7 linked regions of the Macaca fascicularis genome follow. The main gene of each other region encodes a partner of the protein of the gene in region 2 in a complex. Links are inferred from orthologs where the notes say so. Each region holds a gene or a part of one and is shown on either strand. Other genes may lie near its edges.

The links.
Region 1: the proteins of RHOA (region 2) and ARHGEF12 are in contact, whole or in part, in a crystal structure (PDB 1X86), measured with the Homo sapiens proteins. The link is inferred for Macaca fascicularis from reciprocal best matches to the Homo sapiens genes RHOA and ARHGEF12. Residues at the interface, in NP_001300870.1 of Homo sapiens: Arg5, Lys7, Thr19, Lys27, Val33, Tyr34, Pro36, Thr37, Val38, Phe39, Glu40, Asn41, Val43, Asp45, Glu54, Trp58, Asp59, Ala61, Gly62, Gln63, Tyr66, Asp67, Arg68, Leu69, Leu72, Ser73, Asp76, Glu97; in NP_056128.1 of Homo sapiens: Pro766, Asn768, Gln770, Glu790, Val791, Glu794, Thr798, Ala801, Cys888, Gln891, Pro892, Lys899, Arg922, Arg923, Leu924, Gln925, Lys927, Asp928, Pro931, Thr932, Met934, Gln935, Thr938, Lys939, Leu942, Leu943, Asn946, Arg968, Leu971, Asn972.
Region 3: the proteins of RHOA (region 2) and ARHGEF28 are in contact, whole or in part, in a crystal structure (PDB 6BC0), measured with the Homo sapiens proteins. The link is inferred for Macaca fascicularis from reciprocal best matches to the Homo sapiens genes RHOA and ARHGEF28. Residues at the interface, in NP_001300870.1 of Homo sapiens: Arg5, Val38, Phe39, Glu40, Asn41, Tyr42, Val43, Glu54, Ala56, Trp58, Arg68, Leu69, Leu72; in NP_001171164.1 of Homo sapiens: Lys1140, Ile1142, Arg1144, Glu1145, Val1146, Ala1147, Asn1148, Glu1149, Phe1154, Ile1156, Ala1158, Ser1159, Ser1160, Pro1163, Glu1164, Met1165.
Region 4: the proteins of RHOA (region 2) and ARHGEF25 are in contact, whole or in part, in a crystal structure (PDB 2RGN), measured with the Homo sapiens proteins. The link is inferred for Macaca fascicularis from reciprocal best matches to the Homo sapiens genes RHOA and ARHGEF25. Residues at the interface, in NP_001300870.1 of Homo sapiens: Arg5, Tyr34, Pro36, Thr37, Val38, Glu40, Asn41, Val43, Asp45, Glu54, Trp58, Asp59, Ala61, Gly62, Gln63, Asp65, Tyr66, Asp67, Arg68, Leu69, Leu72, Pro75, Asp76; in NP_891992.3 of Homo sapiens: Tyr163, Val164, Glu167, Thr171, Met174, Tyr175, Asp178, Cys253, Lys256, Pro257, Glu260, Ser264, Arg275, Arg281, Leu282, Asn285, Asp286, Ile289, Lys290, Val292, Gln293, Arg294, Met296, Lys297, Gln299, Leu300, Leu301, Cys327, Pro330, Lys331.
Region 5: the proteins of RHOA (region 2) and MYO9B are in contact, whole or in part, in a crystal structure (PDB 5HPY), measured with the Homo sapiens proteins. The link is inferred for Macaca fascicularis from reciprocal best matches to the Homo sapiens genes RHOA and MYO9B. Residues at the interface, in NP_001300870.1 of Homo sapiens: Asp13, Gly14, Ala15, Glu32, Tyr34, Val35, Pro36, Val38, Phe39, Gln63, Glu64, Asp65, Tyr66, Arg68, Leu69, Leu72, Asp90, Glu93, Asn94, Glu97; in NP_004136.2 of Homo sapiens: Glu1731, Gly1732, Arg1735, Lys1736, Ser1737, Gly1738, Ala1739, Ala1740, Arg1744, Lys1772, Gln1773, Arg1776, Arg1840, Met1841, Ala1845, Ile1848, Ile1849, Pro1852, Cys1853, Arg1856, Pro1863, Leu1864, Ser1866, Met1867, Val1870, Thr1874.
Region 6: the proteins of RHOA (region 2) and NET1 are in contact, whole or in part, in a crystal structure (PDB 4XH9), measured with the Homo sapiens proteins. The link is inferred for Macaca fascicularis from reciprocal best matches to the Homo sapiens genes RHOA and NET1. Residues at the interface, in NP_001300870.1 of Homo sapiens: Arg5, Lys7, Tyr34, Pro36, Thr37, Val38, Phe39, Glu40, Asn41, Tyr42, Val43, Asp45, Glu54, Trp58, Ala61, Gly62, Gln63, Tyr66, Asp67, Arg68, Leu69, Arg70, Leu72, Ser73, Pro75, Asp76, Pro96, Thr100, Pro101, Glu102; in NP_001040625.1 of Homo sapiens: Glu177, Ala178, Glu181, Gln270, Leu271, Lys274, Lys281, Gln291, Leu294, Glu295, Arg300, Lys301, Leu302, Asp303, Trp305, Ser306, Asp309, Arg312, Ser313, Arg314, Val316, Lys317, Leu320, Leu321, Glu324, Gln347, Leu350, Ser351, Ile353, Asn354.
Region 7: the proteins of RHOA (region 2) and RAP1GDS1 are in contact, whole or in part, in a crystal structure (PDB 5ZHX), measured with the Homo sapiens proteins. The link is inferred for Macaca fascicularis from reciprocal best matches to the Homo sapiens genes RHOA and RAP1GDS1. Residues at the interface, in NP_001300870.1 of Homo sapiens: Ala3, Ile4, Arg5, Lys6, Asp13, Lys18, Lys51, Asp65, Tyr66, Asp67, Arg68, Leu69, Arg70, Pro71, Leu72, Ser73, Tyr74, Lys98, Trp99, Pro101, Glu102, His105, Phe106, Leu179, Cys190, Leu191; in NP_001093897.1 of Homo sapiens: Arg111, Tyr118, His121, Ser171, Glu200, Met201, Val204, Asn208, Glu211, Leu212, Glu213, Ala249, Glu253, Lys290, Thr291, Asp294, Leu295, Val297, Leu298, Leu301, Asp303, Leu334, Leu338, Ala341, Asn342, Ala344, Arg345, Asn346, Asp347, Cys350.

What each region holds. Positions count from the first base shown.
Region 1 is NC_088388.1:119,346,223-119,349,722, reverse strand, and holds part of ARHGEF12 (rho guanine nucleotide exchange factor 12), read right to left. Parts: intron 3,478-3,500; coding exon 3,391-3,477; intron 3,253-3,390; coding exon 3,173-3,252; intron 2,545-3,172; coding exon 2,311-2,544; intron 759-2,310; coding exon 288-758; intron 1-287. UniProt on the Homo sapiens protein: May play a role in the regulation of RhoA GTPase by guanine nucleotide-binding alpha-12 (GNA12) and alpha-13 (GNA13). Acts as guanine nucleotide exchange factor (GEF) for RhoA GTPase and may act as GTPase-activating protein (GAP) for GNA12 and GNA13.
Region 2 is NC_088376.1:112,362,189-112,365,688, forward strand, and holds part of RHOA (transforming protein RhoA), read right to left. Parts: intron 721-3,500; coding exon 590-720; intron 1-589. UniProt on the Homo sapiens protein: Small GTPase which cycles between an active GTP-bound and an inactive GDP-bound state.
Region 3 is NC_088380.1:77,614,683-77,618,815, forward strand, and holds the start of ARHGEF28 (rho guanine nucleotide exchange factor 28), read left to right. Parts: upstream 1-1,333; 5' UTR 1,334-1,485; intron 1,486-4,133. UniProt on the Homo sapiens protein: Functions as a RHOA-specific guanine nucleotide exchange factor regulating signaling pathways downstream of integrins and growth factor receptors. Functions in axonal branching, synapse formation and dendritic morphogenesis.
Region 4 is NC_088385.1:64,427,346-64,429,664, reverse strand, and holds the end of ARHGEF25 (rho guanine nucleotide exchange factor 25), read right to left. Parts: exon of another isoform or gene 2,232-2,319; coding exon 2,031-2,231; intron 1,909-2,030; coding exon 1,728-1,908; intron 1,461-1,727; coding exon 1,249-1,460; intron 965-1,248; coding exon 854-964; coding exon of another isoform or gene 847-853; 3' UTR 501-846; downstream 1-500. UniProt on the Homo sapiens protein: May play a role in actin cytoskeleton reorganization in different tissues since its activation induces formation of actin stress fibers. It works as a guanine nucleotide exchange factor for Rho family of small GTPases.
Region 5 is NC_088393.1:17,518,526-17,522,025, reverse strand, and holds part of MYO9B (unconventional myosin-IXb), read right to left. Parts: intron 3,287-3,500; coding exon 3,150-3,286; intron 2,941-3,149; coding exon 2,750-2,940; intron 1,646-2,749; coding exon 1,547-1,645; intron 1,442-1,546; coding exon 1,268-1,441; intron 784-1,267; coding exon 742-783; exon of another isoform or gene 621-741; intron 474-620; coding exon 362-473; intron 1-361. UniProt on the Homo sapiens protein: Myosins are actin-based motor molecules with ATPase activity. Unconventional myosins serve in intracellular movements. Binds actin with high affinity both in the absence and presence of ATP and its mechanochemical activity is inhibited by calcium ions.
Region 6 is NC_088383.1:6,384,015-6,387,514, reverse strand, and holds part of NET1 (neuroepithelial cell-transforming gene 1 protein), read right to left. Parts: intron 1,345-3,500; coding exon 1,237-1,344; intron 832-1,236; coding exon 664-831; intron 283-663; coding exon 220-282; intron 1-219. UniProt on the Homo sapiens protein: Acts as a guanine nucleotide exchange factor (GEF) for RhoA GTPase. May be involved in activation of the SAPK/JNK pathway Stimulates genotoxic stress-induced RHOB activity in breast cancer cells leading to their cell death.
Region 7 is NC_088379.1:103,859,576-103,863,539, reverse strand, and holds the start of RAP1GDS1 (rap1 GTPase-GDP dissociation stimulator 1), read right to left. Parts: upstream 2,801-3,964; 5' UTR 2,619-2,800; coding exon 2,615-2,618; intron 1-2,614. UniProt on the Homo sapiens protein: Acts as a GEF (guanine nucleotide exchange factor) for the Rho family of small GTP-binding proteins (G proteins) that stimulates the dissociation of GDP to enable subsequent binding of GTP.

The sequences.
Region 1 (3,500 bases), on a different chromosome or scaffold from region 2:
GTCTATTTATTTGTTTACTTATTTACCATGCTTCTTTCCTCTAGCTTCATGAGAAGAGGGGATTTTTCTGTGTTTTATTCACTGCTATATCTCCCTGCACCTATGATGAGGTCTGGTACAGAGTAGATTCAGTATTTATCAAATGAAGGAATAAATACTGCACTTGTGTGAACACACACACATAAACACACACACACCTCGAAACCAACACAACACCCATTTCAACATACAGCACAGTTAGCAATGATCGAAATCAAAATCAAAGTGTAAGTGTGAAAGATACTTGCCTGAGATGCGTAAATTAACATCCTTCTCTTCCTTGTTAACTGCTCCATCACCTTCTGATGGATTCTCATCACTATGTGCTTCACGGGCATCAAAAAAGTGCTCTCCACTGTCATCAAGACCCCCTTCTGGCTCCATGGTAGGCATCTCTGGGGTCATAATCATGTGGTCCATTACTAAAATGTTACTTGCCTGGCTATCCTGGGGTGCCAGTCCCACTGAATCCCGTGGAGCGGAAGATTCAGTTGAAGTCCGAGGACTGTAACAAGTTGCAATGTCACCAGTTCCAGTTCTAAAGGGCATATGTCCTTCACCAGAATGATAGGCCTTAATATTTTCAGAGTTCTGGATGACACTGTCTGCCTGCGGCCCCTGAGAGGCTGTCCTATATCTTGGGAAATGTTGCCAGTCTTCCTGAGCGCTCTTCTCAGTCAAACCGAGCTGCTGCACCAGCAACTGCTTCAACAAACCCACTAAACGATTTAGGAAGGAGGCGGGAAAAAAAAGCATATTCACAACTATAACCTCAGGCTGCAAGAATTAAATTAGCTGAATTATCAATTATCTTTAAAAGTATCTTTTAATGACATATTAAAATGTTAATTAATTTCATACAATCATTTTATTTCATACAATCATTTTCCATTTTATTTTGAAGATGAAATAAAGCACCATCTTTTAGAGAAGATTTACCGTTAAACTATACTTGAAAAGATCTAAGCATTCTGAATAGGGAGGTACTCCTATTTAGAACTCCTGAATAACCAATATCATGCCTCTATTTTTTCTTCTATATAACTAGAATAATACCCTAAAGGTACTTCTTAAGAATGTTGAAAGGCTGTGTTAAGCTAGACAGAAAAAGCTAAAAGTTCTGCTTTTTCCAGATCCAGACACTATATGCATATTATTTCCTCTAATTTCATGAGATACATACATATACTAAAAATAAGAACCAATTTAATTTTGAATGGGCCAAGTGTATGCTATGAGGTCACCCAGACAATGATAGAGTTACTGGGACAATATTAGTCAAACCATCAGAAATCATTAAGACTGTTAATTCAGGAGAATGTATAAAAAATAATGTAGTTTTAAATAACCAATTCTCTGCTCTCATCACTAGCTTAATGTCTGTCACGTTTCTTCAGGCAACAAGTTCCCCTCAGGTCTCTGATCCTGTCCTTCTGCTCTACAATCACTTCCTGAGAGATGCTAGGAAGTCTCATGGCTCTGATGCTCACATCTCTATCTCTTCCTAACCTCTCTCTAAAGTTTGACTCCTAAAACTCTAACTTCCTGCTAGTTACTCACTCTTTAATGTTTTGTCACTCATTATCTTAATCTTGACATGCTTTAAAACTGAGCCTATAATTCTACCAAATCAAAAAAAATAAAGAAAGTACAATGGAAGGAGGTGGGGGAAGCAGTGGTAGTCCTTTTCTGACTCTTATTTCTGACAAGATTAATGAAATTATCTCTAAATATTCCCTTTCCTTTGACCTCACATCCAAACAAGTCAATTGTTTTAAGCACTTGATGACTTCTCACTTCCTTCTTATTCCTTTTGATAACATTCCAGTCCAAACTCTTTTAGTCTCAGGCCAGACTATTACAATAGTTTATTTAGTAAGTACATCATTCCATACCTGTTTCCATTCAAATCCTTCCACAGCTCTCAGCCAGATTAATCTTGTTTCATACCTTTAGTCATATGCTGGTTTAGAAATTTCAAATGGTTCTCCCCAGCCAGAGAAATTGTTCTCAGTCTTTTTCCCACCTCAGTACAACTGAGAGATACGCTATCCTCCCATTGTAACAGTGATTCTGAACCAGGCTGGGGGGTGGGGAGCTAACAGAGTGGCGTGTGTGTGTGTCTGTGGCATGGGCCATTGTAGAGAATACTATAATCTCCACAATAAAACCAGAAGAATAAGTGGAGTTTGATAAATCCACATACTTTAAGGATGGCACATCAGTGCCATACTTAATAAGTATCTGTAGTAAGTTATGAATAAAACTTACAATTTCTTAGTGCATCCAATGCCCATCGTTCTTCTGAGACAGGCAGGTGTGAATCTGGGATTGTGATTTGATAATCTTCTCCAACTTCCTTTAGTGTCCCATCTGTATGTTGTTCCTTTGCAAACTGTCTCTCAGCCACAAAGAGATCACGTACCTCTGATTTCCCAGAAGTACTCAGTGAATGAGACTGAGGTTTTGATGATATTAAGGTAGCTTCTAATCCCAAATCTCTGTCTGTCCAATGGAATAGAAAAGGTAGACTACAGCTAAACAAAGCTTTTAACTTTTAACATGAAGCATTCAGGCAAGAATCAGAAAAACAACTCCATAAACTACAGAGATCATCTGTTAAGCAAAATACACAGCACATAGCGCAGTGTTATACTGACACGCAGAAGGCTCAAAAGCAAAGTTTGTTAAACTGAATCTCTGATGCTGGAACCTGCATAAATCAAACAGTATTAAAGTTTCTTTGCATTTTATTTTATTTTATTTCATTTATTTCTTTCTTTTTTTTTTTTTTTTCTTTTTTGGCATTTTGGTCTTAGTTGCCCAGGCTGTAGTGCAATGGCACGATCTTGGCTCACTGCAACCTTTGCTTCCTGGGTTCAAGCAATTCTCCCTGCCTCAGCCTCTCAAGTAGCTGGGATTACAGGCACCCACCACCATGCCCGGCTAATTTTTGTATTAGAGACAGGGTTTCGTCATGTTGGTCAGGTTGGCCTCTAACTCCTGACCTCAGGTGATTGGCCTATCTTGACCTCCCAAAGTGCTGGGATTACAGGTTTGAGCCACCGCACCTGGCCAGCATTTTAACAGATAATAGAGCACATTCTCCCTTGAACTTGTCAGAAAAGTGTACCTGGACTCTGCAAACCAGTGACTGAAATGCCATGCTGTTCCTCTTTTAATTTTGAAGGATCTTCTTCATCATTATCTCCTCTGTAAAGGAAAAAAAACAACAACAATCTTTTAGCTTCCTGAGGTACCTAAACATCATTGCAACAAAATGTAATAATTATCCTAGTCTTTTCCAACCCAAAACATAAAAAAAAACATACAATGCAAAGGAACACTCACTCGCCAGGTGTTGACTGGGGTAATGGAATTGGCTTTGTGGATTGCTCCTTCACTGATGCAGCCATCCGACAGATTAGGTCCTGCCAGCTTCAGAAAGTTGGAAAGAAATC
Region 2 (3,500 bases):
CACATGTAATCCCTGCACTTTGGAAGGCAAAAACAGGCAGATCACTTGAGGTCAGGAGTTCAAGACCAGCCTGGCCAACATGGTGAAACCCCATCTCTACTTCAAACAAACAAACAAACAAACAAACAAAACTAGCCAGGCATGGTGGAGGGCGCCTGTAAGTCCCAGCTACTCGGGAGTCTGAGGCAGAAGAATCGCTTGAACCCCGGACGCGGAGGTTGCAGTGAGCTGAGATTGCACCAATGCACTCCAGCCTGGGTGACAGAATGAGACTCCATATCAAAAAAAAGAAAGTTCCTACATCTAAAGCCACTGACTACTTGCTACTGATGAAATGGTTCATTCCCAGGCCAGCAGTCCTTACGGGCATAGCACTACCTCATAAAAAACATTCCATCTCACAGAACTAGTGAACTATTTTAGGGATCTTCTGTGAAGATCTCAATAAATGAGGGTCAGAGGGCCAGAGAGGGGCTTCTGAGCCTCTAAAACAACCTGGCCTGTGAAGGTTTCTGCTGGGCTCCCCAAACCTCCAACCTTGGGGCCATAGTTCAAGAATAATACAAGACAGTCCTGCCCCAGATCATGCCTGCTTCATCTTGGCTAGCTCCCGCCTTGTGTGCTCATCATTCCGAAGATCCTTCTTATTCCCAACCAGGATGATGGGCACGTTGGGACAGAAATGCTTGACTTCCGGGGTCCACTTTTCTGGGATGTTTTCTGAAAAAAAAAATGTAGAGAATTTGGGGATACATACAATTCTATCTTGAAGACTTTCCAAGAACCTCAGTGAAATTCAGAGACACTTTCTTTGTGGCTTCAGAAGAATGCTAGACATTTAATGAAACCCACTAGTTTCAAAACCATAAAAAAGGGCAAATATAATCCCTTTCCTTTAAACAGAGAACCACCAGCTTTTTCTCAGTATAGCCAAGAATGGTGCTGAGCATCTCTGTAGGTGGGGCCCAAGGAAGGGCTCTGGAGGAGCAAAAGATCCACAACACAAGGTAGCTTCACGGGGGTACTTCCTGCCCCACAAAGGCAGGCACTTTACAGGACATCCGTTACTGCTGGTAGATGATTCTGACATAGCTTACAGAAGGGGTGCCCATTCTAGGGCAGCAGCTGACCCAGGGTCTATATGCTCCTTTTCTAACTTGTTCATGGACTCTCAGCATAACTTCTACCCTATAGGTTTACTGGTATTTCAAATGGCTCAAGAGTGACTTTTGGCCAGGCGCAGTGGCTCACGCCTGCAATCCCAGCACTTTGGGACGCCGAGGCAGGCAGATCACGAGGTCAGGAGATCAAGACCATCCTGGCTAACACGGTGAAACCCCATGTCTACTAAAAACACAAAAAATTAGCTGGGCGTGGTGGTGGGTGCCTGTAGTCCCAGCTACTCGGGAGGCTGAGGCAGGAGAATGCCATGAACCCGGGAGGCAGAGTTTGCAGTGAGCCGAGATCGCGCCACTGCACTACTGGGTGGCAGAGCAAGACTCCATCTCAAAAAAAAAAAAGAATGACTTTTGAAAATAACCAAACGAGGCTGGGTGTGGTGACTCGCACTTGTAATCCCAGCACTTTTGAGAGGCTAAGGCAAGTAGACAGCTTGGGCCTAGGAGCTCAAGAACAGCCTGTGCAACATGGCTAAACCCCATCTCCGGCCAGCACAGTGGCTCACGTCTGTAAGCCCAGCACTTTGGGAGGCTGAGGTGGGTGGATCACCAGAGGTCAGGAGTTCGAGATCAGCCTGGCCAACATGGCAAAACCTCATCTCTACTAAAACTACAAAAATTAGCCAGGCGCGGTGGCACGCACCTGTAGTCTCAGTTACTCGGGAGGCTGAGGCAGGAGAATCATTTGAACCCAGGAGGTGGAGGTTGTGGTGAGTCGAGATCTTGCCACTATACTCACTACAGCCTGGGCAACAGAGTGAGACTCTGTCTCAAAAAAATCAAGAACCCCATCTCTACAAAAACATACAAATACTGAGTTTACTCTCAGGCGGGCAGATTGCCTGAGGTCAGGAGTTCGAGACCAGTCTGGCCAACATGGTGAAACCCCATCTCTATTAAAAATACAAAAAAATTGCTGGGCGCGGTGCCTCACGCCTGTAATCCCAGCACTTTGGGAGGCCAGGGCAGGCGGACCACTTGAGGTCGGGAGTTGGAGACCAGCATGACCAACATGGAGAAACCCCATCTCTTCTAAAAATACAGAATTAACCGGACTTGGTGTCTTGCATGCCTACAATCCCAGCTACTCAGGAGGCTGAGGCTGGAGAATCGCTTGAACCTGGGAGGCAGAGGTTGTGGTGAGCCGAGATCGTGCCACTGCACTCCAGCCTGGGCAACAAGAGCGAAACTCCGTCTCAAACAAAACAAAACAAAACAAAAAAACTAACCGCGCATGGCGGTGCGTTCCTGTAATCCCAGCTACTGGGAGGCTGAGGCAGGGGAATTCCTTGAACCAGGGAGGTGGAGGTTGCAGTGAGCCAAGATCGTGCCACTGCCCTCCAGCCTGGGCGACAAAGCAAGACTCCCTCTCAAAAAAAGAAGAAAAAAAAAAAAAGAATACTGACTTCTGAATTATGTGGCTGTGTTTAGGCTAATGAAATGATCACATTCAAGCTTCTATCAGTTAGTTAAGACACTCCAGAAAAAGGCTAAGCCAGGGCAACCAAAAAAAAGAAAAAAAGTCTTTCCCCAAAAGAGATGGCTTTACATTTGGAACTCATCTGGTATACTTTTTTTTTTTTTTTTTTTTTTTTTTTGGGAGATAGTCTGGAGTGCGGTGGCCCTATCTTAGCTCACTGCAACTTCCGCTTCCCAGGCTCAAGTGATTCTCCCGCCTCAGCCCCTGGAGCAGCTGGGATTACAGGCGCACACTACCACACCCAGCTAGTTATTGTATTTTAGTAGAGACAGGGGTTTACCATGTTGCCTAGGCTGGTCTAGAACTCCTGACCTCAAGTGATCTGCCAGCCTCAGCCTCCCAAAGTGCTAGGATTATAGGCATCAGCCATCGCGCCTGGCCTTAGTTTATTCATCTTTGTATTTGGAATTCATCTAGTTTACTCATCTAGTTTACAAGGCAGTTACATTTTAAAATAACATTTAATATTATTTAGTAATAATATTATTTTTGAGATGGAGTCTTGCTCTGTTGCTTAGTCTGGAATGCAGTGCCATAATCTCGGTTCACTGCAATCTCCACCTACAAGGTTCAAACCATTCTCCTGCCTCAGCCTCCAAGCACCTGGGACTACAGGTGTGTGCCACCATGCCTGGCTAATTTTTTTTAACTTTCAGTAAAGACAGGGTTTTGCCATGTTGGCCAGGCTGTTCTCGAACTCCTGACCCTCAGGTGATCTACCCGTCTGGGCCTCCCAAAGTGCAGGGATTATAGGTGTGAGCCACCGTGCCCTGCCTAGGTGGATACATTTTAAATAAAGTAGCCATGGGAAACCTAGGCTGAAAGGGACCCAAGGCCCACAC
Region 3 (4,133 bases), on a different chromosome or scaffold from region 2:
TTTTTTTTTTTTGTGGCAGCGCCTGAGGCCAGGCCTTGAATTCACAGCTCTGTGGGGCTGAGCGGTGGAATCAGCTGGGATGACAGCCCAGGTCAGCAGCGTAATGCCAACGTTGGGGCCCTTTTCCCAAGGAGGAATTGTAGACTTTGCCTTGGAACAGGGCTAAGGCCATTCAGACACACGATGGTCTTCTCTTACTAATCTCAGCCTTTCTCAGCATTCCTATCAGCAAGGTGGGCTGGGGAAGGTGGCGGCTGGAAGGGAGACAGAAAAGGCCCAGGCCCAAGAGAAGTGGTGGCAGCCTGGGAACTGGGCTCCTTTCTGGCTTGGTATCTTGGTGGCCAGCTTCCTCGGGCCACACCTTTGTTATGGTTCTGTGGGTAGCCAGTCTTAAAAGGAAAAACAAAGCAGAGACTCAAGGTGATTTTATAAATTTTATTAGAAACTTTATATTTCAATACTAATTTCCTTACAAATAGTCTTAACTACAACACTTCCTGCCACAGAAGACTCAGATCGGTAATTGTACCTTTAAAGCTGTAACAATGGTCTTAAGTCTGTATGATGAAAGCCTGACTGATGAAGAGGCTTGGCTTCTGCTCTTGGGGTTGTCATCACATCTAAGAGGAAAACCGCTTTGGAGGATAAGGGAGTCCCCTTCACATTGCTGTTCATTGTAAAAGTGGTTATGGTTTTCATACGTTTTTGAATTAAGACTTGCAGCCACTTGCGTGGATAAACGCGAAGGGAATCGCAGCTTGCAAAGCTCGGCCGGGGAACATGAGCTTCAAATAGAGGGCAAATGCCGTTTTTAAAAATAATATTTCCTATTGTAATAGACCTGGGCCGTATTATGTCACGGGTGTGGTGGCTTTTGGCTGGGAACACCCTGAGCCTCCCTTGGGCCTGGCACAACTCCTTTTGCGAGCCGGCAGCCCAGCGCCTTCCTTGGGAGGCGCCGAGGCGTGGAGGCGCCCGGGGCGCAACTGGCCCTCCTGTGGCCCGGCAGGTCCGCGCCAGCCTCCGTGCCTCAGAGCTCCGGGCCGGGGGAGGGAAGCCGAGGCCACCGGCCGCCGCCCCGCAGCGGGAGGGGGCTGGCGGAGACAGCGCGGTCGGGGCAGCTTCAGGTTTCCTCCTGGAGCCGGTGTCGGGCGAGGCAGGCGGGCGGGCCTCGCCATGTGATGCGGCCGCCGCGAGCCGGGCCGGGAGGTGGGCAGGCGGGGATCCAGTGGCAGGGGGGAGGCGCGGGGGGGGCGGGGGCGTCACCCGCTGAGGGCGCAGCCAGCCCGGCCCGGGCGCGCGGCCGCAGCTCCACCCCCTAAAGCCTGGCTTCAGTCCTGCCGCCGCCAGGCGTTGGCATCGCCGGGTAGAGCCTTCCGGACTCCGGGCGGCGGCTGGCGGGGGGCGCGTTCCGAGGCGCCCTCGGGCAGGGCACGGGGGCAGCGCCTCGCCTGGGCTCTGGAGGCTGTGGGGCCATCGCTGCAGGTAAATGCTCTTTGGGGCTCCATGGTCTGCGTTTCCCTGCAGCTCTGGGTGGAAAAGTTTGCCCACCTGAGTTCGCATCCGCAGGGCCACTTTCTCCAGGGATGCGAGAGTCAGCAGAGGTGACCCGGGAGCTCTGCAGGCGTTGCGGCGCGAGGGCTGGGCGCCGCCTCTCGCTCTCCTGGGAGCGGCAACAAGTGGAGAGAGCGGTGCAGCCTCGTGCGGCGGCGGCGGCAGCTGCGGAGCGCGGGGTCGCTCGGGCGCACTGAGAGCTGGGGGCTGGGCGGATGAAAGCCCAGCCAGTGTCCTTCGGGAGCCAGGGAAATAAACAGCGCTCCTGCGGTGGAGAAGGGAGAGCGTCGAGAGTTGGTGTCCGTCCTTCCCATCCATGCTTCTGCTCCGGGGCGGAGGGTGCTTGGCAGGGCCAGGACCGCAGAATGCAGACGGAGCGCAAGCTCAGGACACACGCACTACCACTTACTCGTGTGGAAGCATTTGCTGTGTTTCAAAAGGCATTTATAGTTACCTTGGTTGGGAAAGGCGGTCAGAATTATGTGGGACTCCTTACGCTTATTTTATGCATTTGTTTCCCCTTAAATACCCGGGGTGTATGTGGTGGTGCCACAGCCTTCCCGTGCTTAGGGTTTCCGAATGACAGGCGGGTGTTTGGCCAAGAAGGCACCATTTGGGTCGAGGGCTGTATGGAAACTGGGTGCTCAGGCGGCCCTGGAAACCCAGCTCTGGTTTCCCAGAGACCAGTTAGATTTCTAAGAAAGAATCCATCTCTAGAGGCCCACAGCGTCCCCGCATTGGTTGACTGGGTGGGCCGAGAAACAGTGGTAACATCTGTGTTTGAGCAGCTTCTCCCGCCTAGACCCCGGCCTGCGTCTCCACAAATCTCCCCACACCAGGAGTTGTAGAGGTTCACCACGGACCACACCAATTGGGCAAAATACCAAAGAAAGTAAGGTCTTTAATATTCGTTTATAAAGAACTGATCATTTGGGATTCCATGGGGACCCTGGCTTTCTGAAGCGTTGTTATCTCGTGTTCCTAAGCCCTGAAGCTGTCAGGGGTAAGTGAAATCCTGTTTTCGCTGCAAAAACAAATCAAGGACCTGCCCTTGTTAGGTTCTGTGGCATCTACTTTGTACATGACAATCCAAGCAGAGTGGTAACTTCTGGGAAACCTGGGAAGGTTTCTCCAGATCTGTCCTGGGTTTTTAGTTACACATTCTTAAAGCACATGGGTATTTGCCTAATCTTGATTAATAGTCCAAAGTAACCCCTTTGGAATATTTGGAGAAAAGAGATGAATCTGCAAAACCCTTTGGAATTTTTAATACAACATAGTATTTCAATGTAATGTCTGATGTGGACTTTGTATGTGATTATTGTGCTGATTAACTTTGATCAAATAGGAATTTGGCTAGCATCAGATATTATAGCTAATGGTTAGGGAAACTGAGGCACAGAGCTAGCTATAGTGTGACTCAGATGAATGTCTTGGGTAAGGGGAGAATGGTGAACAGAGAATCAGTGTTTGTTCTGCTTTTGACTGTTTCTTTTTTTTTTCCTTATCAAAACCACACAATCTGGCCAGCTAAGAACAGGTTGTATAACAGGCGTGTCATTAGACTTTCCTCTGAAGTACCCAATTGTTTTTTAAGCAGTTTATAAACGCTTAAACATACAGAAGAAAATAGTAGTTAATAACTAAGTTTCTATGAGATGTCTCAGGAGACTCACTTGGGTGGGTTTCATGCTTTTTTTTTTTTTAATCATGTTTGGAATCTTTTCTTATTGTGTTATAAGAAACTGCACTTGTGGCTAAGACTTAAATTGGGCAGGAATTTCAGGTGAGCTCTGATACATGACCTCCTTTAGTATGCCCTGTGAGAAAAGACTATGTGTTCTAAGTAGGTATTGAAACAAATTGCAGCACATACTATTACTTTTATATTAAACATTCTGTACACCACTATATTGGTACCCAAGCTCCAACAAGTCCTGCCAGTTTATGACCAAGGGCTGAATTCCAAGAAAAAAAGATTCATGATATAAATGTTGGAAAAGCCTCAAAAAAAATTCATGATATAAATGTTGGAAAAGTCACCTAAATTACCTAGGCTGACTATAATTTTTATTATGCTTTTATTCACTAATCAGATATGACAGATCTGGTTTGGGTGGGTTTTGTGTAATTGCATTTGTATTTATGTTGCTTTTAGTGAAGCAGAGTAGCTCTGGGATTCCCCCCTGCCCCTGGCCCCCACCCAGAACCTTAAATATTTGTTATGAAGAGGTGGGTCAACCTGGGCAACTCCTACTGAGGATGTAAAAACAGTGTTACATTTGAAGTGCACCAAATTCAGGGAATTCTGCCATGCTAAAGTTGTGCTGTAAATATGCCACCCTGTCCAGCTTGAGTCCACATCTCTTACTTAGGCAAAGCGGGGCTTTGAGATATTTTTCTTGCTTAAGAAGTGTAGGTCAGGTCCTGTATCACAGAACATTTTGCTCTGATTGGATGACACTCTATCATTTTGTCCAGTCTCTGTGACCCTTAGTTCTTTTGTTATTATCATGGTATTGGAAGTTCTCAGAAGCCCAAAACAGTGTCACTCTACTGTTTTGCCATTTTGACAATCT
Region 4 (2,319 bases), on a different chromosome or scaffold from region 2:
ATCTGGGTGTTGGGGGAACGGTGAGAAGTCACACTGCATTGGGCTTTCTGGTGGGGTCTAGACAAGAGGGTGGGTAGGGAAAAAGAAGGGCTGGGTAAAGATGATACATCAAGAATCTAGGGCTGGCCAGGTGCAATGGCTCATGGCTGTAATCCCAGCACTTTGGGAGGGCAAGACAGGTGGACCACTTGAGCCCAGGAGTTCAAGACCAGCCTGGGCAACATAATGAGACCCTAACTCTACAAAAAAAAAAAAAAAAGAAGAAGAAGAAGAATCTAGGGCTTTCCAGTGGTTCCATGCCTCAGTCTTTGTCCCTCAACTGCTGCAACTGCAGTTGAGGGATAAAGATAGCAACATCTTTTATCTTACACCCTGTCCCCTTCTCCTTTCACCAGACCCCCTCCTCCAATGGCTGGGGCCAACTGGTCTCTTCCATATCACTTCACCCCACCTACCCCGACTACGGCCTCCCCTTCCCTCTGCCAAGACAGCAGCCTCAGTGATATAACAAAACCTTTATTCTCAGAAAACAGGAAAAACAAAATTAAAAAACGAAACCAATAATTTCTATCTGGCCCTTGCCCCAGCCCTCCCACCCACCCACATGTCCTCCTTTTGGGGGAACCATGATGCATGCATAGGGGTGGGAGCTGAAGGAAACTGTGTTCCTTGGGCAGAAAAAAGTCCTTGGGTCTAGGTGCTCTCCTCCAAGTTGATATCCCTCCCAGCCTTGCCCACCCTTCCTCCAGACACACCAAGAAGGAAGAATTCTGGAGCAGTGCCAGAAGGACTGCCCTGAAGCTTCTTGGGGAATAGGCAGCTGAGTCAGCACCACCCCCATGGTTTTCACCAGTTACAGCTCATCTTCATCCAGCTTGGCAAGTCTGGCTTGGCAGGGAGGGGTGTTTGGAGTTGGAGAGACTGGAGGAGAGTCATGGGGAGCCTGAGGGATGTCACTGAGGGCCTGAAGAAAAGATTCAAGTCAGAGGATTAAAAAGGCCAGAAATCTACCCTCACTTCTCTCTTTTCAGTTTAAGTCCCTAGCCAAGCCACCTCCTCTTGCCAGATATCTTAGACTGTCTGAGACTATCAGCTTCTCCAGAGTTAAAATAGAGGGGAGAAGGGTAAGGGATGGGAAGTAGGAAGGACCAGAAAAAAGGAATGATATGGGGAGCGAGCTTGGGGTCCCAAAACAAGAGAGGCTCTCCCCTTTTTATGCCTACAATGAGGGAGCTCTCTTCATCATACCTGTTTATCCAGGGGCAAGGGGGCTCTGGCCACCTCCTCTTTGGGTGACAGCAGCAGGGAGGGGAGAGAGCCATTGATGGGTGTGTGAGTGCTGCCCTGGGCCTGATCTCCAAGCCGAATTCTCCCAGGGCTCCCCACTCCAGGCCCTCCTGGCCGCCCCAGGCTGTTGGTCTGGCTCTCCCGTCTCTGGTACTCAATGGGTGACTGCAATGCTGGAGCAAAGAGAGGAACAGGAGGGTTACTGCAGAGACAGGTCTCTTCCCTAGGGCCTGTATCATTCTCCTACTTTGCCCTCCCTCCCTGTCAGCCAATGTAAATTGCTTGGGGTTTTAGGGGATTCTATCAAATTTTGAGCTAGCAGTAGAAAAGGGGATGGGCCATGGTCAGAGGGTAGGTACTGGAGACTGGGCAGTGAGGGAGGGATTCAGGAGGTCAAGGGGCTGACGGAGCCCATCAGGGAGAAAGGATGAAAGCTTCACCGTTGAGGAAGTCCCGTTGGCTTTCCAAGATCTGAGCCACATGCTTGATCCAGGCCTGACTGATAGCAGGGTCTGCAGCCTGCAGGACATAGCGCTGGATCCCACCCTCTGGCCCTCTGGAGGTCAGTGCAAAGCGGCAAGGGTCACCTTGGAGGTTCCCCTCCAGTCCCAGGCAGCTCACCTGAATTGGCAGATAGGAGACAGCCCCCAGATTCCTCAGACCCTCTCTGGCTCCTCTGAGACATCCTCTCAGAGGCCTCATGCCTTCTCTGTCCAAGCCCTCTCTCGTGGCCCCCTTCTCACCTTAATGCTGCTCTTGTATACATATCCAGGCTGTGTTCCACCTCTCACTCCTCCTCCCAAGGCTTCACTGAAGATGATGATTTGCTCAAAGAGGAACACGCGCCTCTCTCGACCTCGAGAAGACAGCAGCCCCCCAGCCTCAGGCTCGATGACCCAGAAAGTGTCCTGGCCCAAGAGCTTCCCCTGAGCAGTCAGTTTGCCCTGAAACGAAAGGGATAGTGGCCTTGGAAAAAGAACAAGAAAAAGGGCAATTCTCTGCTCCTCCCTTCCTCGCCTGACATGCTCAACC
Region 5 (3,500 bases), on a different chromosome or scaffold from region 2:
GGTTTTTGAGACTGAGTCTTGCTCTGCTGGCCAGGTTAGAGTGCAGTGGCGTGATCCCGGCTCACTGCAACCTTTGCCTCCCAGGTTCAAGTGATTCTCCTGCCTCAGCCTCCTGAGTATCTGGGATTACAGGTGCCCACCACCGTGCCCAGATAATTTTTGTATTTTTAGTAGAGATGAGGTTTCACCATCTTGGCCAGGCTGGTCTCGAACTCCTGACCTCGCTATCCCCCTGCCTCGGCCTCCCAAAGTGCTGGGATTACAGGTGTGAGCCATTCTGCCTGGCCCTGAAGCCCTCTTGAGCAGTGAGGGGTGGTGGGGGACGTGGAGGGGTTTGGGGCCTGGGTGGGGAGCCACTCACCGCTGCAGAGCAGGGCCTTGTCCATGAGCCAGATATAGGAGAGGCACTGCTCGCACGACTGCGGGATGCTAACCTGGTAGCTGGCGAACACGTGCCCGTTGTGCTCCTGGACCTGTGAGGCCAGAGAAGGGCGCTGGGCGGGGGAAGGGGAAGGCAGCCCTCCCCAGCCACTGGTGGATGATGGCCCACGGGATCTCAGGGGTGGGTCTGCTTATTCAAGACTACGGCTCCGTATGTGCTGGGGAGAAAACACACTCACACGTATCCACGCACACATACGTGTGCAGACGGGCCCATGCACACACTGACACTGACACACACGTGCACGCTCCTGCCAACGTTCGCCTGCTGGGACTGTCATCCACGTGCAGCCTACTCACAGCGCGCTCCTGCTTCCGCTTCTTCTTCTGAGCTTTGCTCTGCTGTGAGGAACACAAGGAGGAGGTCGACGGGGGCCCCCTGGGAAGTGACCCAACCCACCCCTGGCACCCCATAACCCAGGAATCTGGGTACCCTGAACCCTCCCTCACCTGGAGTGGCATCATTGTCCCTAACACCCCCCATTCAGACACCCCACGCCCAGAAGTGAGGCCCTGTTGGGGAGGGTGCAGGACTCCCCACCAGGAGGTAGGCGTAGCACAAATGGGTGTGGCATGTAATCATGGCAAGCGATGGGTAGGCATAGCATGTTGCATGTCATAGGCGTGGCATGGGTGGGCGTGGCATGTCAGGTGGGTGTGGCATAAGTGATCATGGCAAGGCACAGGTAAGCATGGTGTAAGCGATCATGGCATGGCATGGTGGGCGTGGTATGGGCAGGGCATGGGTGGGCGTGGCATGTCAGGTGGGCTTGGTGTAAGTGATCATGGCAAGGCATGGGTGGGCGTGGCGTGCTGGGCTGCCCACCTTCACTGGCTCGAAGTCATTCTTGGTGTAGCCACGGGTGAACTCATCTAGCAGTGACTGGAAGAGGTTGAGGACCAGGTTGGTGTCCTTCTCGCCGCGCTCAGTGGCCAGGTTGCTGACGACGATCTGGTAGTTCTCCATCAGATCCTTGTAGCCCACGTGGATCTTCCCGTTCTGTGGGAATGCTAGGCGTCACCCCGCAGGCCCGGGCAAGGGGCGGATGGGAATGACGGGTCTGAGCAGGGTATGGGAAAGGCTGAAGGCCGGGCCGCCACATACCGGGACAGAGTACATCGTTTTGATGTTGCTCCTGAACTTCTCGGTGGCTTCGATAAACAAGCTCTCGATGGGCGTCTTCTGGGAACGGAGGTCATTTATCTGGAAGGGGAGAGGAGCTGACCCTGCGTGCCTCAGGCCTGGGGACCTGCGTACCCGAGGAGGTGCCCAACGGGTCACTTGTATCCTCTCTTAAGTCATCCCCTAGGCTCTTGGGATAAAATCCAGTCCCTCTGGCCAAGCCTGATCTCTCCTCTCAGAGTTATAAATGTCAGAGTTATAAAGCCACTGATATTCACGGCAGGACTACTCTCCACAGTGGGGCCTGCCCTGTGCGCCACAGCAGGTTAAGCAGCATCCCTGGCCTCTACCCACCAGAGGCCAGCAGCGCCCTCCCTCCAGGTTGTGATAACCCCAATGTCCCCAGACATTGCCAGTGTTCCCTGGAGGGCAGAATCCCCCCTAGATGAGAGCTACAGGTCAGTTCAGGGCCTTCCTGCTGCCCCACACAAGGGTTCAACACCCAGCCATACCTTAGGACCGGGATGTCTGGAATGGTCTGGTCATTTCGAGATGCCTCTACTCCTAGCAGGGTTTCCTGATCCTTCTGTGTCCCCATCGACCCCCTGTGGCCGCTGTGCAGCTCCCAAACGTAGCTCTATCTGCTGCAGGATGGCCCAACCCCCACCCCCATGGGGTATAACCCTCCTGAAGGCAGCCACAGCTTGCTCGCCTCCACTTCCGTTGCACACGGTGCTTCATCAATCTTTGCTTTGAGACCAAATATGCATCATTATTATTTTTGAGCCAGGGTCTGCTCTGTCGCCCAGGCTGGAGTGCAGTGCTGCGATCATGGCTCGTGGTGCCTCAACCTCTTGGGCTCAAGCGATCTTCCTGCCTCAGCCCCCAGAAGCTGGGACTACAGGTGTGTACCACCACACCAGCTAAAATCTAAACCTTTTGTAGAGATGGGGTCTTTCTGTTGCCCAGGCTGGTTTTGAACTGCTGGGCCCAAGTGATTCTTCTGCCTCAGCCTCCCAGGGTGCTGGGATGACAAACATGAACCGCTGTCCCCGGCCTGAGCCTGCGCTTTGTATTCTTGACCTGCTAAGCCCTGTGGTGTGTGTTTCAGAAAGCACTGCCTGGCTGTGATGGTTCCCCTGCGGACCGGGCCTCATGCCCCTGGCTCTCCCCTAGTGGTCCCACCTTGTTGAGCAGGAACTCGTCCAGGTACTTGAGCTCATTGGCATTGGTGATCTGGCGGAATACCGATTCCCGCCACTTCTCTGACACCGTGATCTTCCCAATCTTGACGTTTCGGTTCTTCTTCCCTTTGCCTCCTGGCTCCTTGGTGCGCTTCTCACCTGCGGCGTGGCGGTGCTGGTGTCCGGAGGGGGCTGAGGATGGGACAGGAAGCAGCTGGTGAGGGTGGGTTTGGGGGAAGGATGCAGAGGACCTCCTACGGCATGCCTTTATCCAGGGCCAGAAACCCCTGGCTTTGTGCCTAGGGTTTGGCCCACAGCCAACTCAAGGCCCCATTTGGGGACAATGAATGTCCCCAGGGACACTGGTGGCTCTGCTGTCCCTGAGGCTGCAGGTGACCAACCTTCCAGGCCCTTCTTCATGGTGGCAGTTTCCAGCACCACATGCCCGGACACAGCATTCTCCAACTCCTCCACGCCCTCCAGGCTGTATTTTTTATCCTTGGTTTTATGCAGAAATAGCCTCTTAAACGTGGATCTGCTGGAGAAAGTACATGGCTTAAGTCTGAAGTGAGAATGGACATGAGGCCCAGCCTCCCTGTGATTGGACACATGGCAAATGCTCTATCATTGCCTGACTCAAAAAAGGATCTGGGCCGGGCGCGGTGGCTCAAGCCTGTAATCCCAGTACTTTGGGAGGCCGAGGCGGGTGGATCACGAAGTCAGGAGATCGAGACCATCCTGGCTAACATGGT
Region 6 (3,500 bases), on a different chromosome or scaffold from region 2:
TTGCTATACATAAAACAAATTAGTATGTATTAATCCCCAAATAAACTCTCTTACTAATACTTGTATTTGAGGCTATGTCTAGACCCCATCTAAAAAAATGTATTCACCAGTAGATATTTTCTATTTTTCTACTTCTAAAGGTTAAGAAAACTATCCTTTAGATTTTGTGAAATTTAATTTTTAAAAACTAGGGCATCTGATAAAAAGTTATTTACTGACCTTTCTTGCAAGTTTGAGATCCTCAATTAAATCCTGTTCACCTCGGGACATTTCATATATTGCCTAAAAACATCCAGCAAACATCAGAGGTCATTCCTTCGAGAAAGGAAAATTATATACAACTGATAATCACATTATTTGATGTTTTGAACGGCACTTAAAAACCAAACTCAGTCTGAAAATTGTAATTCAGAATGGAATCTCAAATAAAAGGTTGCCATATGTTTGGTAATTTTACCCTATTAGAGTTGTTTAATTTGACCATCATCCATCATTAGGTTTTGTTCACCATGTATTAGGAATTGTTGCTCAAACACAAAAATCCAAGTTAATTTTGCCATCGGTATCAATTTGCTGTTCTTTTGGGAAAACACGTATTTAAAAAACAGGTCTTTTTAAAGTGCAGGCCAATAAATACAGTCTTGGTGCTGAGTGCCAGCATACCTCCTGCCGTTTGATTTCTCTGGTGGTGAGCGACTCCTTCGTGGTGATGTCTAGCATCTCTGACCACAATGCACTGCTCCTTCTCTTGGCGGGGGTTGGGACTGTTGACCTGCTAGAAAACTTCTGGGCAGAGGCTGGGGATCTGTGGTCACCACGAAGGGTAAATGACTTAAAAAAGAAAAGGTGAACAAAAGAGAAAATAAGATTAGGAAGAACAGAATTATTCCCATTTTCTTTTTTTTTAAAGTGAAGAAAGACAAAGTTCTGAGAATTTCTCAATGCAGAAAACAGTAATTTATCCAAGTTTCCACCTACCAATCTTAAATATTTATCAGCTAAAATTACGTTTTTGGGAATAAAAACTAGCCAAGACTATGCATTGATATAAGATGCAAATTAATATAACGAGGTTACACATTGTTCTGCAACAATATTCCTTAGTAGTATATTCCAAAAAGAAAACTATGTTTAAGTATAATAATGCAAACCTGTTTGTACAGCTCAAGGAAAACTACAAATTCCAGGCTTCTATAAAGTCCCCTGACTACATGACTCTTCCTTCTCTCTTTTTACCTGTATTGTTTGACCGAAACGTCTGACAGCTCCATTTCTTACAGGAGAGATTAAACTTGCCAGGGAGGTGACACGAGCCAGAGGTCGAACTCTTTTATTGCTTGGCTCCTATAAAAACAAACCAGATGACACTAAATGTATGTTTAGGGGCAATGATTTCATAGAAACTTGGACAAAGTAAAGCCCTCTCACAAAACAATTTTTATACATTATAAAATACAGAAACATGAAAATAAGAGTTGTTCTTCATTGTCAAAACAATAAGAACGCTATTGAGTAGCAGTAACTTTTCAAAAAATAATAAGTGCATAAGAAAGGCCAAATATTTCCATTGGGGAAAAATTAAAATTCAAACAAGGAAATTACATCCTAAAATCCAATAGAACTTTTTAATGTGGAGAATAACTTTTTTTTTTTTAAAAAGTCTTATTGTTATGAAAATTTTCGAACATACATGAAAGTGGAGAATGGCATAATGGATCCCATGTGTCTATCAAGCGCCCTCCACAGTGTCTGGTATAACAATTTGTTTCATTTTTGTCCCTACTTAAATATTTTAAAGCAAATCTCAGACATTATACCATTTCATTCTTAACCACTTAACCACTTTCGTTAGAAAATATGACCTTTCAATAAACATGTCTGACACTGGAATGGGCTGAAAAAGAGTGAAGCCAAGGCAGGGAGGAGTTAAAAGAGCACCCAGGCTCTGAAATCTGACTGGGCACAAATCCCGGCTCTACCACTTGCTAGGGCATACTCGGCATCAGTTTTCTCATCTGTAAAATGGGGCTAATACCAGCACTTCTCTTATGAAGTTGTTGTGAAGATTAAATGAATAATAGGGCTTGAAACAGTGCGGCACATATTAAGTTTGAGCCATTACTAACATATTTTAGGAATATTTCCATTTACTACATAAACACTGAGATTCGTAAATAATTAGATCCACTTACTACATAAACACTGGGATTCATAAATAATTAGATCCTCTCTCAGTAATTTATTAACTTAAAGGAAAGGTATACACAAATTGAGAAGAAATAGTTATGATTCTACATGTTATTGCTTTTAAATAATAATATAGCAAACACATCACTTATTCAAAGATTTTGAAACTTAATAAAAATTGCATTATTCTGATTTTATCGCTAGAAAAATGGAGGCATACCAGTAGGTAACTCACACGGTTACTGAAATGAAGAATGCCAGATCATAAAACTAGCAGGTCTATTCTTTATAATGTCTATGGAGCACAACTATTTGTATTTTGTGCCTCTGACAATTGTGGCATACTTGACAAAATAATTTTGATGAGAATCCAGGAGGATATATAATTTTAAATTATATTAAAATTATCACTGAAAAGTAAGACATCATTTAAAAATAACAGAAGAAGCAACTTTTTCTAAAAATTCTTTGACATGACTAAAGTAATATAAAAAGGAAGGGGTATAGAAAATGAGTAAAAATAATGCCTTTAAATAACTGAAGACTATATTGACCATTTTTGGTTTGGGTAAAAAAAATTTTTTTTTTAAATTAATAATTTAAGAATAAACTGACAGGAAAAGTTAACATTATTTGGAAAGAAATGTAAAAAATTTGAATATCCAAAGAAAGAATTAGACTCATTAAAGCTCCTAAATGTATCAGAAAGGAATGTGAACTACCAAGGAAACTTGGTAATCAAAGAGAATTTAGAAATTTGAAGGCTTTAAGAGGCAGAGTTGTAGATCAACCCCTCATATCAAATAATCAACTCCAAAGTAAAACTTTGAATATAAATGAACTGCAAAAGAAACCTTCGCGATATGTAGTAAGATGGCACACGCCGTGCTTCTGAGGACATGTGTGGATGCCTCCCCCACGTACATCTGTGCTGACTGACTGACACACGCGTGTGCAGGGGCCAGCACAGGCATTCCTTTCCATTTAGTAAAGACAGCACAAAGAGTCTCCTGTTGGACTGAAGATAGAATTACCTCACAGAGTCAGAAATGCCGACATTTCACTGGAACAAAGCAGTTGTCAGAAAGTTCTGTTCTGCTTTTTGGGAACAGAGGTTAACTCTTCTTCCTTGTTTCATGCATAACAAATTTGACTTCCCAGAAAATACAATATTTAATTTCAACTTAAAAGTCTTTGCAAAGGTGCTTTTCCCAATGAATATGAATGGAAAATTTAGTTAGCAGGAAATACATTTTTGATATCTATTTTATCACATAAAATCAAATTAACGATAAAAATTTCTTATCTTTATA
Region 7 (3,964 bases), on a different chromosome or scaffold from region 2:
TATTTTTAGTAGAGACAGGGTTTCACCATGTTAGTCAGGCTGGTCTCCAACTCCTGACCTCAGGTGATCCACCCGCCTCGGCCTCCCAAAGTGCGCGCCCAGCCGAGCACATCTTTAAAAATCAACCTTATTTATTTCTTGAGACAAATTAAAAAGCACTTCTCCCTCCCCCCATCATTAACCAGTATACCTTCTACCTTCTTATGTGTACATGAATTGTAATACTAACTTCCTTGGCTCAGATATAAAACTGTTACCCAAGGTTTCAATTTTAAATTATCGTATGTACCTACTGATCATACATGAAACTGCCTTACCATTGCCTGAGGTTGACTCAAAACCTACCTACAGTGTACTGGGAAGCATGGTACAATTATACCTTTCTGTTTCTGCTTATCCCCCAACTAGGTACTATGTGCCAATCCAAATGTTTGTTCAGAGACTAAATCTTCAGATGCAAAAGCTGAAAATAATAGGTGGTTTTAAGTTCAACAATTTGCCAAAGATTTACTGAATTCCTATTTGAAAAGCAGTGTGGGGAACACAAAAAATAATAGGACATTTTTCATCTTCTGGGACTCATGATTAAATGCACAGCACACACACATAAACAACTCCATAATATGGTAGATTATATAAGTGCTAAAAAGCTTCTAACAAGGTACAAACAGTGCTTATGAAGAGAGAGAGATTAACCAAAGAGTATCAGAGATGGCTTCAAAATGAGAGATAGGTTTCTATTTGGCCCTTTTTAAAAATCAAGCAATAGCATTCAAGATTTTGAAGATGATATTTAAGTAGATAATTTCATCTCTTTCAGGTATTTTTATTCACTAGTGTTGTAACGAAATTGGATTTTTTCCACTGAAAAAGTACGGATTTAACATGTAAGTTAAAATGTTAAATGGTTTGAGGCTCACCTGGAAACATAGGAAAATGTATTTTTCAAGCCAAACTTGAACTTACAGTCCAATATCAGATAGGGTTATTGGACATACTGAGTATTTTCTTTGAACGTACACACATTTATCTGTGTATGTACGTTCAAAGGAAACATACATAAACGTGTGTATGTTCGACGGAAATACACAGCTTGTCCAATAATCTGATATAATACCTATTTAAAATTCTACTTTAAGAGAAAGGGTAGACACGCATAAACGGCCCACCCAATTTTTACAGAAATTTGTTCAGCATATCAAGAGTACTCACATTAAAAAAAAAAAAAAAAAAAAAACACTTAACTGAAAATAAAATTCAGAGCCGTAGACCTTTTTTGATTCATACCACCTCCTCCATCAACCCTGGCCTCTTCCAGATATATGGCCAAAGGTCGCGATCAAAGCCTGAAGTATTTGCTGTTCCAGAAAACTCTATGGACACCATTCCCAGGTTTAGATACTTCTTGAAGATTCTGAGTTGCGCAACCTAACTTTGAACGTGTTGAGCACTGTATTAACAGATGAAAGGATCACATTCATCTCAATCTTTAAATAACTCGCACAGAAGGGGTGGGAAAAGTCCCAGTTGACAGATGCCAAGGGAGCAAATTTTAAAAAGAGGAAATTATGACAGACAGGAGTGGCAGCAAACTGGGGAACTTAGTACAAGTCGCTACTATTAAAAGAAACTTTGAGCTCTTAATTACACGACAGCATTCATCAGACGTTTCTGTGATTACTGAATGTAACAGTTAAGCAATAGATGATGTAAAAAAATTAGGTTAAATTTATATATCGTTTTATAAAACATATTTGCTCTTAAATATCTCATCCAAACCAGTATCTTCAGATTAACTATAAATACAAAAGAAGTAAAATCAGATTATGTAGATTAGACAGGGGGAAGCTGGGAAAGAATAACTACCATGTAAGTTCGGTAACAACGTTACAGGGCGCAGTTTCCTGCTACAGAAGACAGACGAAGGAATCCAAAAAATAGGCTGAGTACAGGAATATTGCACACTGTAGTCACCCAGCATTAATTCTACAGCGAGCTGCTCTATCCTTCCTCACGTTCCTCGTGGCCTCTGACAAGTCATCCTTTCAACCTATGGGGCTGTCCGCTCTCCCCCTTGGAAAATAATTTCCGTGCAGGTTGTAAGATCTCCCTCACAAACTACTTGCTTCCACTTCCCCGCCCGGGATGAGGAGTCTCCACGACCAGGAAAGGTCGCACTGACAGAGAAGGAAGTTACATTAAGTGGTCGTGGTCGGACCCGAGCCTCGAGCTCAGCAGACGCGGGGGAAAAGGAAGCGGGCGGCCTCGGGAGAAACGGGGATGGAGACGCGGATGCGAGCCCGCGAGGCAGGCTCCGTGGTGCCCGGGCACCGGCAGGAAGAATGGAGGAGGGGAGGCGAGACGGCGAGGTGCCGGGGAGCCGGGCGGCGGTCCGGCCCGCGGCCGACCCCACCCCAGCCCGCGCTCGGGACCCTCCCAGCCCCGGCACCCGGCGTGCGTTCCGCGTGCGCTGACTCTCCCCGGAGGAACAGCCAGTCTCACACCGGGGGACTGGAGAAATCCGGCAACTTTGCGCGAGAAATGCTTTCCACCCTGCAGCACGCCGAGAAAGAAAAAAATGTCAGGCGATGACGGGGGAGGAAGGATGACTTACCCATGTTGCTCCCCGAGGGTGAGGAACCGGCGGGGCGAGGAGAAGGTCTCCGGTGCGGGCGGCGCGGCTCTGTGTCCTCCCTCTACCTCCGTCTCTCCCGCAGCCAGGGAGGGACCCGCGGGGGGCGGCCGCCGGGGAGGAGCAGCTGGTGCTGCTGCAGGCGGCGCGGCCGCGGCGGGGACGAGCGGCGGGGGGCGGGGAGGGGCGGGGCGGGGCGGGGCGGGGCTGGCGGGCGCAGCCTGCGGCGGGCGCGGCTCCGAGCGGGCGGGCGGCGGAGGCGCGGTAGCCGGCCTGAAGAACGCCGGCTCCGACTCGCGGCCCGCGAGCGCCCCGCCCTCCCCACCGAGCATGCTCAGTGCCTTTTCCACCCCTCCCTCTGTGGCGAGCGAGGCTAAGCGTGCGGGTGGGCGTGTGTTCGCAGACCGGCTGCAGCCGCGGCAGAGGATCTTCATGGCGGCCGTCTGAGGGGCGGAGGGTGGGCCCGGAGAAAGCAGGGAATGGGGCTGTTGAGCCCGATCTGCTAGCAGAGGACTTACCGCTGCCTTGCTTTCCCACCCTGACCCACCAACCCCCTACCCGGAACCCGGGCCCGCCTTCTTTACGGGACGACCCGGCCGCACAGGCCAGAATTAACCGGAGAAGAGGCTGAGCCGCCGCAGAGCCGGGAGGGGTGGTGGGAAGCCAAAGCTGACGCCTCGACACGAAGCTGGAAAGGACGTGTAGGCGACTAGGCCTGCGCCTCTTGGGGACACCTGAGGACGCCCGCTGGGCAGCTGGCCGAGGAGCGGCCGCCGGGAGGGTGCTCTATAGCAGGCGTGTCATTGGGACAGTTAAGGCTGCTGTAGCAGTAGCCAGCTTAGAAACAGAGGTCCCGGCAGCCAGGAGAGCGCCCGCCCCAGGATTTCCTTGAAGAGTGTGTCGTTCTCCCTCCCGGAGGAGCGCGGCCTTCCGTTCCCCGGAGGGCGCTGGAAAGGCCCTTTAACCGGGGTGCCGTCGGGCTCCATCCTGCTCTCTGTGAAAGCGGGAGGAACTACGTTCCCCAGGCTTGAAAATAGGCGTCCTGCTGGGTTGGCGGCGGCACAGCCAAGCTAACCCGGCGGAGGTCCTGTGATCCCGGGGCCGCCGCCCGTTCCCACCACCACTCGGCCGCGGGGAGAACCTGAGCAGGGCGCTCCCACTGAGGGCGTCCTCCCGACCTGGCATGCGCGTGAGGCCGGGGCTGGCTTCGGTCGTCTGCCCTGTGGGAGGAGGCTGGAGGAAACCCTAATCTTGCCCTGGCTCCTCCTGGGTGGGGTGCGGAATCTGGTCGCTCTCCGAGGCGCAGCGACCGCAGTCCTTCAGGGGAGAGGG